Linked DNA regions of Drosophila melanogaster. The protein of the gene in region 1 purifies or fractionates together with the protein of each later gene. This does not show direct contact. Each region holds a gene or a part of one and is shown on either strand. Other genes may lie near its edges. The genes, in order: CkIalpha and CG15710.

Region 1 (9,452 bases):
CATCTTTAATTTCAACTAAATTTTAATTTCAGCTGAAACGAATACAACTTTAGATACAAAGCACTTATGGGGGAAATTAAATGTTGGGGCTCAAATAAAACGTATGCATATATATATATATATGAATATACAATTTTTATGTAAATTTAATATAGTATAATAAAAAAACTAATTACATGCTACAATTTTAAAAAAGATTATTAACCAATAGAGCTAATCGCTAATAAACAATGACGTATATTACAACAATAAATATATTTGAATGCACTTCTTTCCCTTTCGTATGCCCCCATCTCTATCTAATGCAGATGTGAACAGCGCCGAGTCGAAATTTAATTTCAACATATTTATTGATGTAATTCAAAAAATTAAATATAAGTTATATTTATAATTATTACGGCGTACTATGCAAAATTACTTTGCAGTTTTGCGGTCTGTTTTCTTCTTTTTCTTTCTTCATTATAATTATTATTTGCTTGTTTTACTCTTGTTGCTGCTTTTATTTTATATTTTCCCCCATCTCAGTTGGCTTTGCTTGGTTGTTTCTCCTCCGCATCCTCCACTATATTTTTTTTGTTTGCTTTTCTCGGTGTGTTTTATTAATTTTTTTTTATTGTTTATTCTTATTTGTTTGTTGTTTTTTTGTGTTGTTGTTTGCTTGTTGCTGTTTTGTTTCTTATTTATTCCATTTTAATTAGTTATTGAGTTTTGTTTCGCTCGATTCATAATTAAGCATTGGATTCGATTTGACGTGAATCAAATGGGTATATGCATACATATATGGTGTTGTGTTTATTCGCTTACATATATACATATACATATATATATAGGTTTAGTTTCCTCAGCATTACTTCATTTTGTTCCTCCAACTCTACCAATATTATTTCTTGTAATTTATTAGGCTAAGTGTTGTTGATTTCTTTCCTCTTCTTTTCTTCTTCTCTCTTCTTTTCTTTTTTCTCCCCCTTTTGGGCAATGATGTTTGCTTTTTGAGTGGGTGGATGAGAGTGGGTGAGTGTGTGTATGTATGTGTGTGTGTGGGTGTGTTATGCAAGTATGTTGATTTGTGTATGGATTGCAAATTAGTTTAAATCGTATTGATTTGCAATAATTTCGGTTTATGTTATTATCGATCGCAGTGATTCACTCGTGAATCACATTTGCTGGGGTATCATTTTATATGCCCTGCTGATGATGCCGTTGCTTGCTTGTTTGTGGTTCCTTATTTGTTTAGTATTGAATTTAAATTAATATTAAGAAACATTCGGACGACCGCTGGTGTTACTCAATTTTACGGTTGCGTCTGTTTCATATTTGCTCCGCTCCTTGCCGGGCCTTTCGCCCACATCAACGTCATTTACATCCACGCATCCACGTTCTCCTTCTCTGATGCACTCCCCCCATTCGTCTGAATGCGCTGCAGCTCTTAGTCCGCGATCAGGGGCTTGCCGTTCTGCTTCTCCTTGTCCTTGTCCAATTGCTCCAAGAGTATAGCTGGATTGGGTTGACCCTGATGGGTCTTCTGCTTCAGCATTGTCCAGTCGTAGATGTAGTCATACTGATGGTTCAGCGTTCTGAACAGTATGCTGTATTAAAGAGAAAGTTGGGGTTACATCATTTCGAATTAAAAAAAAAAAACAAGAAAACTATGACCTAAACACATATCGAATACAGCCTCCACAATGATTATCACCACAAACATTATCACAAAAACAATCGGGTGTAATCTTAAGATTCGTATGCAATATATGATTTAATCGTACTCACCGGAACAATTGACGTAGGTACATGTAATCTGGCTGCTCCTCGAAGCGCAGGCTACGACAATAGTTCAGATACATGGAGAACTCGGCCGGCGAGCCCTTGCAGAGGACCTCGATGGGCGTGGACATCTTCTTTTCGGAGATCTTCTCGTATTTCTGCTGCTTGGTGTTGGCCTTCATGCCTTGCCATGGCAGTACGCCGCGATTGAAGTACATCATCACGTATCCAAGCGATTCCATGTCGTCACGCCGCGACTGCTCGATGCCCAGATGGGCATTGATCGAGGCATAGCGGGCAGTGCCGGTGAGGTTCTTGTCCTCGCGGTAAACGATGTGATGGCGCGTGTGCGGATCGCGGAACTTCTTGGCCAGACCGAAATCGATCAGGAACAGCTTATTGCAGTGCCGACCAATGCCCATTAGGAAGTTATCCGGCTTGATGTCGCGATGGATGAAGCACTTGAGATGGATGTACTCCAAGCGTCCGATCATCTGGTCGACGAGCATCAGAACCGTTTTGATTGTGAAATGGCGCGTACAGAAATTGAACAGATCCTCCAGCGAGGGTCCCAGCAGGTCCATGACCAGGGTGTTGAAGTTCTTTTCCTTGCCATGGTGACGTATACGAGGGAATCCAACGCCGCCGCTCAGAATGCGGTACAGCTTGGCCTCGTACAACAGCTGCGGATGGCGGGCGTGGGCGCTCTCCATCTTGATGGCCACTTCTTCGCCGCTCTGGATGCTCATGCCCAGGTAAATGTCGCCAAACGATCCGCTTCCTGTGAATAATTTTCAGAGATTAGAGAATATTGTGGGGATAAAATCGCACGGCTGAATTACCAATCTTCCTGATCACCCGATATTTGCCACCGACGATTATCTCGGGGCGACTTTCCTTCAATATCCGCATCTTGTCCATCCTGGCTAGCTGCTCCTCCGCCTAAGCGCTTCGCTTCAAAAACAGTTGGACGCGTTCACTTGAAAAACTGCATGGGTTGGGAACATTATATGTTTTGTATATATTAAGTTAAGAACTAAACGCTAGGAGTTACTAATTATCATTCTGACACTTGAACACCCTTCATCTAAACAACTATATTACTCTAATACTACAAAGGGACCTATTACAAAACGAACAGTTTTGCGGATCCCAGAAAATGTAATCGTGTACTGTTTTATATTTTAACCTTAAGAAAAATGAGTGGTATCTTCTCTAGAGTTGTTTCACAGTGTTTTTGGGAAAGTTTTGAATAGTTGCCCCAACACAAAATGTCGCGACGATTTACAGACCAGCTGACATTTAACTAATATCACCAGAGCCTCTTTTTGCTGTCATCCCTTTCTCAACACTTTCTTTTCCACCTCTCTTTCTGCTCTCCGGAATTTGTTTTGCTTTTCTTTTCCAGCTTGCACTTTACGTGTTTTTCTGATGTTTCTCAACGGACCAATCGATATGTCTGCATTATCGATTACACTTGATCCCTACTTGAGGTGATGGAGGTGAAGGAGGAGCAATATTTCCTTTTGCACGGGGGCGGGCTGAAGGGAAATTCTAAATAAACACAGACAGACATCGATATACGATATTTATTGGCGACAGGTACTGCTTCCTCTTCTTTCTTACCCCGTTGGAATGCATATTACACACACACACACACTCATTGCTATGACGCACAACAACAAAAACAACAACGGCAGTCAAAGCGATACACACACACGCACACAGCTGCAGTTGCACCTTACAAATGTTTTACACAAAAGAAAATTTCGAAGGCACACATATACACACACACACGAACGCAGAGTGTGAGAAGCAGACCAACACATTGAAGCGCACAGCGAGACACGCACACCATCGAAGACCCATCACACACACACACACGTTAGCATATTTAGCACGCATTTGAAACTGGACGAAATGGGTGAAAAAATGATGGATCCTCGCGGAAATCAAACGGTCTAAGTTCACATTTGGGTTCATTTCTTACCAGCAGACGATAAATTCAACTAATTATTGCCCTGCTGGTTGTTTTTTCTCAAGGTTGGGGCTCTCTTTTACAAATATATTCGCTGCTTTTGCTCTGCTGCTTCTGCTGCTGGTGGAGAAAAAAAAACGGAACGGGGAAAATTTCGTCGCAGATCCGTTTTCGTTTTCTTTCGTCGTTATCGTTGTTTTCCCATTCAGTTTATGAAATATTGCACGAGTTCGCAGCTAGTTTTGTACGCGCACAAACGGAACAAAAAGAGAGGAAATATATGTATTTTATTAACTAAAATAAAATGGTAGATCCAGCAAAAATGCTTTTGCTTATATCGATAGGGCCCGATAGGTTCAACCAAACACTGCCACCTGATATCGTGGAACGATACGCTCAGATAGGTATGAACGAGAAACGATACTTCACCGTGGCACACTGCTAAACTATCGGATTGAAATTGACTTCGCGACTCTGCGGCGATTTTCAGCACTGACACAACACTGCGCGGATAATTCAAATGGGGAACAGAAAACACTTTTCACTCGTGTGCTGCTGTTATGTTCGAATCTGATACTAAAGTCTACTCAGAGTTGATGTTACTATAAAGAACGATTGAAAGCAGCACCCACTTTGTTCGAGCGTATAAAACATGTGAAACAAAGAAATCAAATTAAAAATACTTTAATAACCCACAATATTCATGAATACATTAAGACTCCACAGTGCCTGTTTTTTGGTCTATATATTTTTATTAAAAACAGTTTTTTTTTGGTTGGGTTTTCTCTTTCAGTTTTTTTGTTTTTGTGAATTTTCGGTTTTTGTTGTTTTTTTTTGTTGGTTTTCGGTTTTTGTAAATAACGTGACGACTTGAAAACAGAAATTAAATAAGTGTACTTTACTCGTAATGTAGTAGAAAGTGTTATAAAAGCAATATTACAATAACTGTGGTAGAATTGGCTCCTAAAATAGATATTTTACAACTGATACCACTTCTTGTCTTTATATTTAAGCATTAATTGATGCGCAGTGCCGCTGAAATCTTGAGCAGTGTTGGCCATGCGCTCGGCGCGCTCCTCCAGCAAATTTAGCTTCTCGCCGCGCTCCATGGCCAGCTGGTGCGCCCGGCTGATCTCCGATGCGGCGGTGGAAGCCCTCTGGCCGAGCTGCTCCAAATTGGGGCCGGGTATGTGCCGTGCCACCGATCGATTCGGTTTCCCGCTCTGCTCGCCAACTGCAAGGATAGGGATAGGAATTGTACGGATTATTGAAATGATCGATGGTAACGACATGCAGATCTGATGCAGATCTACTCACATAGCTCCTCGCGATCCAGGAGTTTGGCGCCACCACCAAATAGACCCTTGAAGAAACCCTCCTTCGGCTGTTCGGGCATTTCGTGTACCGTATATAGTTCACCCATCATCTCCAAAATAAATTGACTTGAATAAGGGAAAGAATTACAAATTAATATGCAATGTTTAAAGTACAATGAATTATGTTTGTTTTGGTTTACCAAAATTCCGATGATATCGTGAATTTTTGAATTTCGGTGGGCGATGCCATGTACAATCCATGACCTTTATGACTAAAGCAAAATATTTTTGATATTCTGTGGATAATGGAACAAGATTAGTAAAAGTTGGAAATAAAAATATATATTTTAGCTTAGGACTTACTGAGTTGTATCTTCATGAACAATGATCTGTTGACCCCATATCGAAAGCATTGGATCCACAATTCCCTGTTTACATTTTGTTTGAAAACTAAATAGACGATAGAACCATTAGTTGTAAAAATGCTAAGAGTACCTTATAAGTGTACGGCTCACCTTAGTTCCATAAGTGGTAAGAAATCAGTATCCAATAACAGTTTTAGACTAGGAAGACTATGTACCATTAGATGGCCATTCGAAAGATAGGTTGCTAAGCAAGAGCCATCTGGAATGAAGGGAACGTTGATATATGTATTAATTACAATCAATTGCACTAATTACAACAAATTATGACTTTCTTGCTCCACTAATAAAATGAAAATAAAACAAAGTGAAAGTCACCTTTCATCGTGATAGTTTCTGCCTTGACTGCAAAATCCATTTCCGATAATTGTATGCGGTTGATGCAGCACTGGTTGGCGACATCGAAGACTTTTGTTTGCTTCTCGCTTGCGATAACGATGTATTGTCGATCGGTGAGAGTTTCCAGGCCGGTGCTCACACTTCCGCTGATGCCGCTGCTGCTGGCGCTGCTGCTGCTCATCCCCCCGCCGCTGGTTACACCGCTTCCAACGCCGCCGGCCGCTCCAGCCGCCGATCCTGCTCCGGCACCACCGCCGGCTGGCCCTCCTGCGGCTGCGCCACCGCTGGCCGCACCACCGCCGGCACCACCACCGCCGCCAGCTCCTCCGCCTGCGGACGCACCACCCGCGACCGAAGTGTTTGATAATGTATTGGCAGTTGTCGGTGTGAATGTGGGACTGGTGCGGCTGCTGCTCTTTGTTGGTGTGCCTTGAAATCATATTGGATATATATGTGGATTAGTCGGGGGCATCAGATCAATGTGGTATGAAGTCGAGATGCTTACGATCTTTGTTGTCCCTCTTCTCGTCACGCCAGGTCTCAAACGTATAGGGTATGATCGAACCGTATGAGTCTAAAAAAGACATGGAAGTTATGGATCCTTTGAGTCGTACCACGGGGCCACCTGAAAAAAGGAGAAGATATTTAAAAAGGTTTTCATTTATGTGCGTGGCTTTATCACTTACCATTTATTGTTATCAATACTGGCTGAGATTTGCGCACATCTCGCTCGGGCATGGTGATGAACAATGTCAGTATCGAACCGAAACTAGTTCCAATCCACAAAGTAGGAACAAGTGTCAAAATATCTAAGTAAAAACAATGTTAAATATATGTATAGATGTTAAGATATAATCTAATCACCGATCAGTCTTACCATTTCGTTTTGCATAACTCTCGATAAAAGCTAAACAGGTAACAGATTCAGAGGAAGACATATCAATGCTGGACATTGACGATGATCTGGATCTTGAGAAAGTTCCATCCAATTTATCTGTAATTTATTCGGGTTTGGTTTTGGGAATCAGAAAGTGATTTTGGTTTTTTGTTTTTGATGGATTGTATGCCATAGATAGAAGAAAGAGATAAATAAACGAGTTACATTAAAATCGTTACATACGTTCATAAATATTGTGAAAAGAAACAGGCGGATACAGAAATAGAGAGAGATAGAGTGATAAAGAGAGATAGAGATAGATAGATAGATAGAGAGAGAGAGAGGAGTAAAAGCGGCGGGCGGTAGTAGGCAAAACTATTGCTTAGATATTTAATCGAATTTTCTTTATTATCTAATTGCAATTGCGATTTTGCGCTAAGTTTTTTTATGCTTTTTTTTTTGAGCTGCACAACACTAAAGTACCGCTAGGCTGCCTAATGGTTGTTAATTGATCTGTGTGCTTTCCATGTGAATGTGTTTGTTAATGTGGTTTTCAGTCGCTCGCAGAATTTAAGTGTTTCAAATATTAAATAATAAAAAGGTTACGTTTTCAGTTTACATTTAAAACTTTTTGAGCCATTCTTCAGCGATTAAGGAATGTTCGTTTTAAAGAATGGAAGACATTATATCTGTAACTGCGAGCGACTGTTATTTTGTAATATTTATTGTTTTTGTACTATTTTCCGAGTAAGTTTTCCACGGAGTTTTCTAACTTTCTGGCTGTGAGTGCAATTTTGAAAGCAGCAGGCGCGTTGACTAGGTAAAAGAAAAAAAAAATCTCAAAAAAAAAGTACGAGTGAAAGTTGCTTGCATGTGTGCTTAGCTAGGCGTTATTGTATGGATGTGTGTGTGGGTGTGTTAGTGTGCATGTGTGTGAGGACTATGCGTAAGTTAAATATTTTTTTTTTGCCAATACAAAATCAGATCTTGTTGTACTCTTTTCCAAATGTATCTTTATAGAAATCCGGTAAGTCTTATTCTTCGTTTAGTTATTCGGTTTCAAATGCAAGAACAAATACCGAGAGAGAATATAGAGAGAGAAAGTGTCACAGAGCGAAAGAGACAGACATAGTTGGAGACAGTAGCAAGAGGTAAAGGATAAAGTGAGATAGTAAGAGTAAGGAAAAAAGAGACAGCGAGCAGAGAGCGAACGAGCGAGCGAGACAGATCGAGAGAACATATTCATATGCACTGTTATAACTAGATTGTTTTCTAGGGCTAGAGAAAGACAGAGAGAGAGAGAGAGAGAGAGAAATAGAGAGCGAGCGAGCGAGCGAGCGAACGAGCGAGAAAAAGAGACAGACAGCTCCAGCCATCGCCCCCCCTCACAAAAACCCCATGAAACAAATGTATATATATATATATACTGAAACATAAATATAATCAAAACGGAATATACCAATAATTTTCCAAAAATTTCAAATTTAACACGCACACACACATACACACCAAAATACGCAGACAGACACGCACATATACAGAGAAAGGGGGCGGGGCCACAAGCAACGTGCATCGTCTGCTGTCCATATTCATGTGTGCGTGTGTGCGTGCGTGTGCGTTTGCTTGGTTGTGTGCGTATGCGGTGTGACCGTGTGTGTGCGCGAAAAAGAAAGAGACAGACAGAGACACAGTCGAACTTCTAAACTGCCATTGCATTGCAGACTATTGCCCGCATATACGCATATATATGCTACTCTGTCAAAAACACTCGTTGGTCGCGATAGAGAAGTTCAACTGCACTTAAAGTGTGTGTTCGTGTGTGTGTGCGTGGTATACTGGTAAAAAAAAATATGCGAATTGTTTTTTTTTTTCATGACTAGAGGTGCAATCTGATTATTTGGTTGGTTGCTGTTTAGGTTGTTGTTTTGCTGTTGTTGTTGCTTGTATTGCTTGCTGTTATATTTGGTTGCTATTGTTGTTGTTGTAGTTGTTGTAGTGGTTGCTGTTAGCTGTTGTTTACTGTAGTGCTCTGTTGTGCTCCCACCTTGTGATTTGGACTTTTTTAGGGATTCGTACGATGTCACTGACTGCTGTTGCTGTATAACGGATGTTTGATGCGGATACGGATGCGGATGCGGATACGGATGCGGATGCTGATATTGATGTTGTTGCGCACCTGCACCGCTAGCACCACCACCACCGCTTGCACCACCGCCGCCGCCGCTGCCGCCAGCACCACCACCGCCGCACTCGCCGCCCCATGGATCACAAGACGCCTCAAACGATTGCTGCTGCTGCTGCGATTGCTGCTGTAGTTGCTGTAATTGATGCAACTGTTGCGACACCTGTTGCTGCTGTTGCGGCTCAGCCGCACCACCAAATCCACCGCTAATCGCACTGCTAATACCACCAACACCAACACCGCCACTAGCAACACCCGCACCTGCATCATCTGCACCGTAAATGGAGGATCCCGCCAATGTTGCTGCTCCCGCTGACGTCGATGTTGCATGATCACCAGGATCACCACCTAACGATTGTTGTTGTTGTTGCTGCTGCTGCTGTTGTTGTTGCTGCTGCTGCTGTTGCTGCTGTAGCTGCTGCTGCTGTTGTTGCTGTGATTGCTGCAACTGTTGCTGCTGCTGCTGTTGCTGCTGCGGTGCTGCAGTTGCAACTCCGCTGCCGTTGATCTGAGCAATTGCAAAATATACATAAACAATAATTGTGGGAGACATGGGAGAGAGAGATAGAGAGATTCA
Region 2 (9,266 bases), on another chromosome or scaffold:
GGCACCTGAAGAGCTGACAGAAGGTTAGTGGCTAATTGCTATTGCAGCGGAGTACTCCCATCGACTGATTGGTGTTCGCCGGGTGGCGCAAACAGCGGGCTTTCTCGATTGCAGGAGGAGCCGGAGCCCCTTATCACGCCAAGTTCACAGCGATCACAGGGAGCAAATAGAGAAAATCGAGGAGAGACCGAGAACAGGGGCTTTTGATTCTGATATGCTTTTGTTGTTCAATTCTGGCGCTGCTTGCCAGCTACACTGGTCAACAAAGTTGGGGAAATAGTTGGAAGCATAGTAGACTAGAGCACGGTACTAGTGATGGGAAAACATGTACTAACAAAACATAGGAACTATGGTCTTTTATTAGAAAATTTTGATCTGGTTTTTAAGAATAATTTAAAATTTCTGTTTTTGAGGATCAGATCTCAGATCTTATGAAAATCTTAAAAAGAATCTTATTACAAAAAAAAAAAAAACCGAAGGTCAAAGACAAGCTCTAATTGTTGTACCGCATTACGTTTGTACCTTAGGTAATTTTTCTAATTTTGTGGCTGGCAGCTCTGAAGAGAACCTACACAGGTACGCAGAACGAACCTTCTGATAGGAAGCACACATGTGTTTAGCTGATTTAGCAAAATGCAATTACTGAACTGAGTGCCGCTGCACTTTGGGCTTGTAATTGAATTCTTTTGACCCAAATGTTACCTTATCGCCTTTGCACTTACAGATAGCAAAAGATGACTAATTAAAGCCGGTGTTTTGTTATTGATTTTGTTTGTACGATTGACTACGTTTTCTTTCTGAGTTGGTTTTTTTATTTAAGTTGCGCGGAATGATTTGTTCCATGTACGACTAAAACTGGAGCTAAAACATAGCTCTCGACCAGTGTTGTTTGTCGATTTCGCAAGTTAGTTGATCGCTGGTTAAAAAAACGGACACAGACATAAATATATTTTAAAAGTGCAAAAAGTGATTGCAAACGTTAAAATAATATAAATGTTTTGGTTTTCAGCATGTTTTAGTAACAAAAATGTATCGTCGACTGAGCAAAGTACTTCATTTGTATTGCCAATTCAAAGAAATTTAAAATTTAATTTTGCCGCCCAATCTTCAAACTGCTAAGTGTTTTGGCTTGAAAATAGCTAGCTTGAGCTCAAATTTAGTTGATTTCCAACACCGACAACATTGCGGAACTCCAAGGAGGGGTCACACTGGTTGCTTTTGGCGTGTTTCGTTTGATTTAGATTTATATTATTCGTCTTAAGTTTAAGCATGGTATTCCAGTTGCCAACAACAACCGCCGCCCCGACCGGAGGCGCAACATCGTCGTTTTCCTTCGGCCTCAGCACAGGAACACCAGCCGCAGCACCAGCTTCAGGAGCAGCAACCACGGCTCCCGCCACAAAAACCACATTCTCTTTCGGAACACCGGCACCTACTGCTGGTATCGGTGGCGGAGATGCAGACAACAGCAAGGCGCAGGCTCCACCAGCCTTTGGATTTGGCCTGGGATCCGGGACTGCTTCAGCTCCCCTCACGCTGGGCACTCAAGCCGCCGCAAATCCAGCGTCCACCACTTCTGCGACCGCGACTGGAACCTCTGCTGCTCCTCCCGCCTTCGGAGGCTTTACGGCTCAACCAGCGGCATCTGTGGTGCCAACTATAGCAACCAGTGCACCCAACACCGCAGCTACCACAACTGGATTGCTGGGCGGGTCTGGATTGGGAGCTCCCAAGACCACGGCCGCTGCGTCCACAACTCTGACTGCAGCTCCGTCGGCCATAGCCTCCACGCAGGGAGCTGCACCGGCCCCAACTTTAAGTACTGGTGGTGCTTTTGCCAATCTCACTACCGAAACCAAGACCACAGACTCATCGGCCGTTTCCACGGCATCCCAATTGTCCTACCACCAACTTGAGGAGCATATCAACAAGTGGACTCTCGAGTTCGAGGAACAGGAAAAGGTATTCACCGAACAGGCCACTCAGATCAACGCATGGGACAAACTGCTCATCAGCAACAACGGGAAGATCGTCGAGCTCAACGATGCCGTGAAAAAAGTGAAAACCGATCAGCAAGTGCTGGACCAGGAGCTGGAGTTTATAGCCACGCAGCAAAAAGAGCTTGAGGACAGCCTGGGACCGCTTGAGAAGGAATTCGTTAATCTCCCGAGGGTGGACATGGAACGCAGCCAAACCTACCTGATGGTGGAGAATCTGGACACACAACTGAAGCAGATGTCCGAGGATCTAAAGGAGATAATAGACAACTTGAACGAGGCCAACAAGGGCCAGGACACCACTGATCCCATCATACAGATCGGAAAAATCCTTAATGCCCATATGAATTCGTTGCAGTGGATCGAATCGCAGTCGACGAACATCAGCAAGAAGCTGGAAGACATTGGCAAGATTCAAGACTCCCAGAAACGCGATATTTTCCGAGCTCCTTTCTAAAGATAAGTCCCCTTAATTTGTTAACTTAAATAAAGATGGTTCCATTGTAACCACAGAAAGAGTAATGATTTTATTTAAGAATTTATTGTAAACATCATACTGCCTTCAATTAATAACCCTTGAAGTACTTAAGCCTAAAGAGCGGCACCTGTTTGCCCTTAGTGGCAAAGGCCAGGAAGCTGCTGTGCGGCGAAAAGGCCATGGAGGTCACAAAGCCAACCTTCTCGTTCTGTGCCGGGAAATTGGAGTACACAGTGGCGCTGGGGAAATGGGCCAGCTTAAAAGCATTCGGCGCCTCACTGGAGCACATCGCCAGTAGCTCAGATGAGTGATTGAACTGGAGATCCGTGATGGCAGTCCGTAGGTTCATGAAGCGCTTCTCGGGTTGTGGGGCCTTGGATGCGAAAATGCTCTCGTAGTCGTAGATGTTGACCACGCCCTCTTGACTGCCGGTGGCCAGTAGGCGTTGGTTGGGAGACAGTTGAATGGACTCTCCATGTATACAGCCGTCGTCCATGAAGATGTGCTCGATGAGGTTCTGGCGCAGGTTCAGCACGCTGACATTGGAAGTGGAACCGCAGACGAGGATCCTCTTGGAGTCACTAGACCATGTGAATCCCTTCACTTTGCCCTCCTGCTTGAAGCTGTGCAGCAGCTCATTTGTTTTGGCCGTGAGCAGGTGAATGGCTCCAAACTTGCCAGCAGTGACGATAAATTTGCCACATGGAGACACCTCAAAGCGGTGCATAAATTCCATTGCGCCCGGCAGCTTTAGCTTCGATTCCTTGGCTTCCAGCAAGTCGTAGGAGTAGTAGAATGGTTTCACAGAACCAAAGAACGCCCTTGTGCCGCATGGAGCAATTCTGGAGCACGCCAGCGGGAACTTCTTGAAGCGCATGTTGTGCAACCTTTCGTTCTTTTGCCCATCCACGGCGTAGATGGTGGCTAGGCCATTCATGCCCGCCACTAGAGCAGCAGTACTGGTTGGATGAAACTGAATGCTGGTGGCATTACCCTCGGCATATGTGGCCCTGTTCAGGTCTTTGACCCGTTTAAAATTCAGAGTCTTCTGGGGCAGATCACTGTTCCGGGCTTTACGATCGATAAAGCCAACCGTCCGCAGCAGTTCTTCGTCGGAGGATACGTCCTCGTCGTCCTCATTTTTGACCTTCTTTTCCGCCCACTTGGGTTGGTTAAGCGTGCGCTGGAATCGCGCCGTAAGATACTCCTTGTACGATTTATCCTTGCGCAGGTGGTTCAGTGGACCCGTGTGCTTTGTGGCCTTCTTGACATCGCCCACCTGCAGGTCCTCGTCATCGGAATCCGACCAGGCGGCTTTCCGCTTGTCGCCTGGCTTTGCCTGGCCGGGATTTTCCTCCTGCTCGTCTTCGTCATCGTTCGGCAACTTTTGTCCCACGGACTTGGCTAGATTGGTGAGCAGTCGCTGCCTGTCGCCGAAGAGCACCTTTTCCATGGGCACCTCCACATAGTTGAGCTCCTTGGCCTGCGAGGCCTTTGGAATATAACGTTCCCTTTTGATCTTTGCCGGTTTCTCTTGCTCCTGCTGGCCGTAGAGGGCCTTCAGACTCTGCAGCTCCTCCAAACCGTCGCTGGACTCGTCTGAACTCATCGTGTTCGCTGGAAATGCACGCAAATTCGTTTATTTACGAACTTTTCTTTGGACCGCAAAAAAATATACACGTGCAGCTGGGCGGGAAATCGACTAACGCTTTAAATCAAAAATACCACGCCACGGTGGATTTATCGATAAGTGTGACCACATCGATAGCAGATCGAAATAGATATCGGTGGGATGGGCGCCATAATTTGAAAATTATAAAAAATATTACAATTAAAAAATATATTTATTTAATTTAAAATTAAAATGTGCGAATTTGTATAATCAATTATTAAAACTTTGCACAACTTCTGTAAATGTTACCTCGCTGACCTCGGTGATTTCAATCTCACGCTTTCTTTTGCATTTATCCGGCATCTGGCAAGTTTTCAGATGACGGTGAAGGAAACCCTCATATTTGTACTTTTTCCCACAACGATCACAGATTAATTCGGGCCTTCTCTTCCCTAAGATCTTTTTCTCCTCCTCCTGGGCCTTCAGCCTTACGATACATGCGTCGCACGCGTATCGACGGGTCACTTGGCCAGGCTTAAAGCAGGCCTTGAACTCCGTGCGACAAAAGACGCAATTGAAGGTCTTGGTGATGGTGTACGCCCCTTCGTAGGATTCATCCGTGGACTCGCACGGTATCAGATGGCTCTCCAAATGGGTGCGATACTCCAGATCCGTCCCGAACTTGACATGGCAGGATGCACAGGTGCGATTCATTGATGGGCTTCCATGCAGGAGCCTGTGGCCGATCAGGGCATCCACCGAGGAGAAGATTTTCTTGCAAATGTTGCACTGATGCTGGGACACGTCCGGCACATCCTTCATCATGCGTGCCAAGCGTCTTTGGCAGGCCATCAGATGGACCTTGTAGGCACCGGCCGTGCGAATCACATTAGAGCAAAGCGGACAGTGGAAGCGTTGCGTGTTGTCCTCCAGGAAAACTTTCTCCTCTTTTATCGGCTGCAAACAGGGCGCCACGTACACCTTGGTAACAATACCATTATCCTCCTGAATCGACAGTAGAGTAGCTGGTTCCAGCTCCTCGGAAATCCAGTTGCCAGCACTTGTCATAATCCTTTGTGGGCTCTTGTGTTTCGCCAGTAAGAAGCGTACGAAGAAAGTGAGAAAGTCGCCGGTCATTGTCATTGAAAGATAGAAAGTAATACTCGATACTCGATACTCGGAAACTGTCAGGGCTGGAAAAGAAAGAAAGCGTATACGCGATAGGTATGCCTCAAAAATGTAAACTTTTTAAATTTGTCCAGGCAATGAAATTCGAATCCAACGCTTTCCTCCAAAAAAAAATTAAACGTTTTATTCGGATTACCATAAATGAGGTGGTAATATATTTAGCCATCATTTAGTTTAACCAATTAAGCAAACAATCTTCATGCATTTTTACTGTCTAAAGCAGAAGTATACATACTATATATATTCGGTTTAATTTCGTTTTTAAATGAAGTAGGTCAGCTTCACAGTTTCGAACGCAGCAAATAAATTATGTTTTATGAACCATATTAAAGGCTTCTCCATGATTTCGTCTGTGTTAGGAATTATTTTTAAAATATCATCTTAGAGACTTAAATATAAATTTAATTTAAATTAATTTCTAAGGAAGATAGCTATAGTTCAATGGCAAGCCTGGGCAGAATAAGATCTATACTCGTAAAACTGATTGTTTAGTTTGGTCTTTGAACTGTAAAATGCAGGAACATGTCTTTCGAGTGCCTCTAATCCCCGCCCAACTTCTGGCATTGTGGTAAGCTCCGGATCCCTGCTTTATGACACGCGTAATGCGAGTCAAAATATGCAATTAAACAAAAACTTCTTGACTGGAAAAATATTTGCATAACTTGGGCAAACAAATGTCGGAGCACGTCGTCCTCGTCACCAGTCGACAATGTCGAGTTGTTGTTGAACTTGTCATTACACACGCACAACCAGGAGAGCACCAGTCTCATCCACCCACTAACCACCCAACCACCCACTAATTTACCCATCCACTGGGGGTGGTGCTCTCGCCAAAGTGTGGATTAATAGCTGGGGTGGTGCTGCTGCTGCCAGAAATCAGCGCTCGTAAAATTTACGTAAAATTCATTAAGCGCAACAAAAGACGCTGACTGCGTGGAGCAAAAGGGGGCAGGGGCAGGTTGGAAGGGAAAGGGGGGGTGGCGCCTGCAATCGCTTAGAGACAAAGCCCTGCATAGTTGATAAGACGCGTCCTTCGCGGGGGGAGGACGTTGCTTGTAGGAGCAGTGGGTGTTTAGTTGGGTGCCTGGGTGGGTGACGGCTTGGCATTTGTGGTGCCCTCGAGTGTCTCCTGCCAAGTCAGGCGTCAAGCCGCACGGAGAGCAACCAATTTTTGTCATTTCAAAGGGTCCAGCATTATTGTTGCGCCATCCAGGCGGCGATACACTAGCAAATAATTTTCTATAAATATTAAACATACTTATCATTAATTTTAAGCAGCGCGAAGTTGGGTTGTTGGTATTTCCTCAAAAGATTGTGAATTATTTAAAAAGCATACACTATTCTTGAATGTATTATATGCTTTTTAAACCATTTAGGCTATTCTTTTTAGTTATTTTGAAGTAAGCTATCTGAAATATGAATATTTTTCATTTCAGAATCTGTTGATTTCAGATTAACAGAATATGGGATTCTTTTATATCTTTCTACTAATCCTTTACGCAGAAGCTTTTTTAATCGTTTGCCTTAAGTAATAATAGCTAATCAAGTTCCAAGGATTGAAGTTTGTCTAAGAATCGCTGCATTTTCTGGGAGTGTTCCCCGCCCATTTTCCGCCCACTTCCAATATCCTTGAGTTCCTGTGCAGCGAGGCGCTGCGATTCAGCGCTCCTTAAGTGGCCTGACATTGTGGCAGATCCTTTGCAGTCGCACTCCCAACTCCCCGCCATGCCAGTATCCCCCATTCCGCGCCCTGCATCTCGCATCCTGCGCTGCAACTCCTGCCGACTGACAGATTAGCGTGTTGACATTAAGTTTGTCCTTTGGCAGTGTAGGCTAACATATGGCCTTTAGTTGGCTTTAAGTATCGGGCGCATTTAGCTCCAGCTCCAGCTGCACATGCAAATGCTGATAGAGCCACGCATTACAGCATGTTGCGGTCGCTCCTTGTGGGCGTGGCGCCTGGCCACCTGCCCCTGTGCTCCATCGCTCCACCTATGTGCTATCTTTCGAATCACGGATGATGGCTCCTGTGGCATGTAATGAGTTTTCCATTGCCCCGCACACGGTGCATCAGGTTACCCGTACCTACATCACCGCTGATTTGTGCGGTTGATAATTGGGCGCGCGGTAATGTTGGTAATTAACGTCTTTCTGTCCACCGATATCGGCATATTGACGGCCATTGTCAAGGGCGCGTTTTATTTGCAGGACAAAATCCTGTCCAACGCAACGTTCGTCGTTCAAACGGAATTAAGCCAAAGGGAAAATCTGGCGACAAAAAGCGTAAAACTTTGTTGGCGATACATTAGCGAACAATGCATATTGACATTGTATTGACAGTGCGCGACATGGCAATAGCACTTAAACACCATGCCATTTCGAATCGCTTTAATTGGTTAAATAAATGTATGACTGTCGTGTGCTATAGAACTTTTTTGACATTTCTATATCAATGAAGCTGGAAATCTTTATCTTTAAATTATTTTAAAAAGCCAGGAATAAATAATCAGCCTTATAAATTATTCTAAGCGTTTGACTTTAAAAGGTAGTATCTCTTCTAATAAAATCTCCTATGTAGGATAAGTTTTAGTAACTTTTTCAACGCAAACTCGCGTCTGGTTGAAATGGAAATTTCGGTGAAAAACTATTGAAAGCTAGCCGAAAATGGTCAGGAAAATAAAAGGCTTGTGGCCAACGCTTTCATGTCGACCATAAAAATAGCAGACGCATAAAAAATTAATAAGCGATGGTCAGTCGACGAGGACGACGCATTGCCGTTGTTCTTGTCCCTGGCTTCAAAAAAAAAAAACCCCTTGTATCCTGCAAACGCCCCTCAATCCTTGCCCCCTTTACTCCCCCGCCACCCCTTCACTATATTGTCCAGTGTGGCAGACATCATTAATGCATAATTCAAGCGTTTGGCAGTTTTGTGCTCGATGCTTTCAATATTCAATTTGAATGCCGCCCAAAGCGATTCGAAGCGGTTTTGTGTCTGCAGCATTGTTGTCCTTTTGGCGTTGTTGTTGTTGTTGTTGTTTTTATCTGCCCCATTTTGTTTTCGTCTTCGCTTTCATGCTCGCTTATTTACTTGACCGCCCCCCCATTTTCCACGCCCGCTTTTCCGCTTTTCCATCAGCGTATACTACCTGCTGCATTATTCAGACGCCTCGACTCGGAATCGAACAAAATGCATGGTAAACAATTTCCATTGCAAAGGGGGCGGGGTTCGAAGGGGGGCGGAGACAATGGCCGCTTAGTCTCGTCATCTTGCTGTTGTTTTTCCGAACGGCTTTTCCCCACTTTCCCGCCCCCACCAATCGTAGGTCTTACAGCAACTGGCAAGCAATTGGAATTGGAATTTATTTAGCTCAAAAACAAAGGAAAATAATAAGTGCCTTACAATTCACTAATTGCCACCTTTATTTTGTAATTTCAAGTAGTATTCATAAAAATACAAAGCATATTGGGAAAGAAATATATTGAAAATACAAATATAATTTTTTCAAGTGGTATTATTTATGAATGTGCCATATTTATTCAATTTTTATATATAAAGCATTGAACTTCATTTGAACTTGTTCAAGGACTAAAAACCAGGAAAACCACATTCACGCCTTGAGTGCTATTTACTTGGCCGCTGCTGTGTGTCCTGCATGCGTTAGTTGTTTATTAAATATAAATGATTGTCACTTGCGGCATGTTGCCGCCGTGTCCCTTTTGAAGTAAAGCGAAATGTTGATGGCGATGATTGCTCGAATTTCATTTGCCAGGGAAACATGGCTGCAGGACATCGGAGTCCTTATTGCGATTCCTTGCTTGAACTGCAATTGCTGGCGATTTTAACCCACCCCCACCACACACACACACACAAACACACACACGCACACATGCGATCCCATGTGAGGCACTTTTCTTTTAGGCGGGCGCCGCTTTGACAAGTCATGCAATTGATATGGATACTGGCCATTTGCTCGTCATAAATGTGAATTGT

The links.
Region 2: the proteins of CkIalpha (region 1) and CG15710 purify together in Drosophila melanogaster (affinity purification with mass spectrometry, with the first as the bait; one large-scale study listed by BioGRID). This does not show direct contact.

What each region holds. Positions count from the first base shown.
Region 1 is NC_004354.4:12,648,468-12,657,919, reverse strand, and holds CkIalpha (casein kinase ialpha), read right to left. Parts: upstream 4,121-9,452; 5' UTR 3,752-4,120; intron 3,522-3,751; exon of another isoform or gene 3,388-3,521; intron 3,221-3,387; exon of another isoform or gene 2,951-3,220; intron 2,750-2,950; 5' UTR 2,683-2,749; coding exon 2,604-2,682; intron 2,543-2,603; coding exon 1,768-2,542; intron 1,587-1,767; coding exon 1,427-1,586; 3' UTR 86-1,426; downstream 1-85. Other genes in the region: tomosyn, read right to left, coding at 4,717-4,973, 5,057-5,181, 5,256-5,351, 5,419-5,505, 5,571-5,679, 5,796-6,245, 6,322-6,441, 6,503-6,625 and 1 more. UniProt on the Drosophila melanogaster protein: Casein kinases are operationally defined by their preferential utilization of acidic proteins such as caseins as substrates. Can phosphorylate a large number of proteins. Negative regulator of wg signaling.
Region 2 is NT_033778.4:16,343,312-16,352,577, forward strand, and holds CG15710 (uncharacterized protein), read right to left. Parts: upstream 5,217-9,266; 5' UTR 5,156-5,216; coding exon 4,358-5,155; 3' UTR 4,303-4,357; downstream 1-4,302. Other genes in the region: Nup62 (nucleoporin 62kD), read left to right, coding at 1,270-2,454; wcd (wicked), read right to left, coding at 2,564-4,084.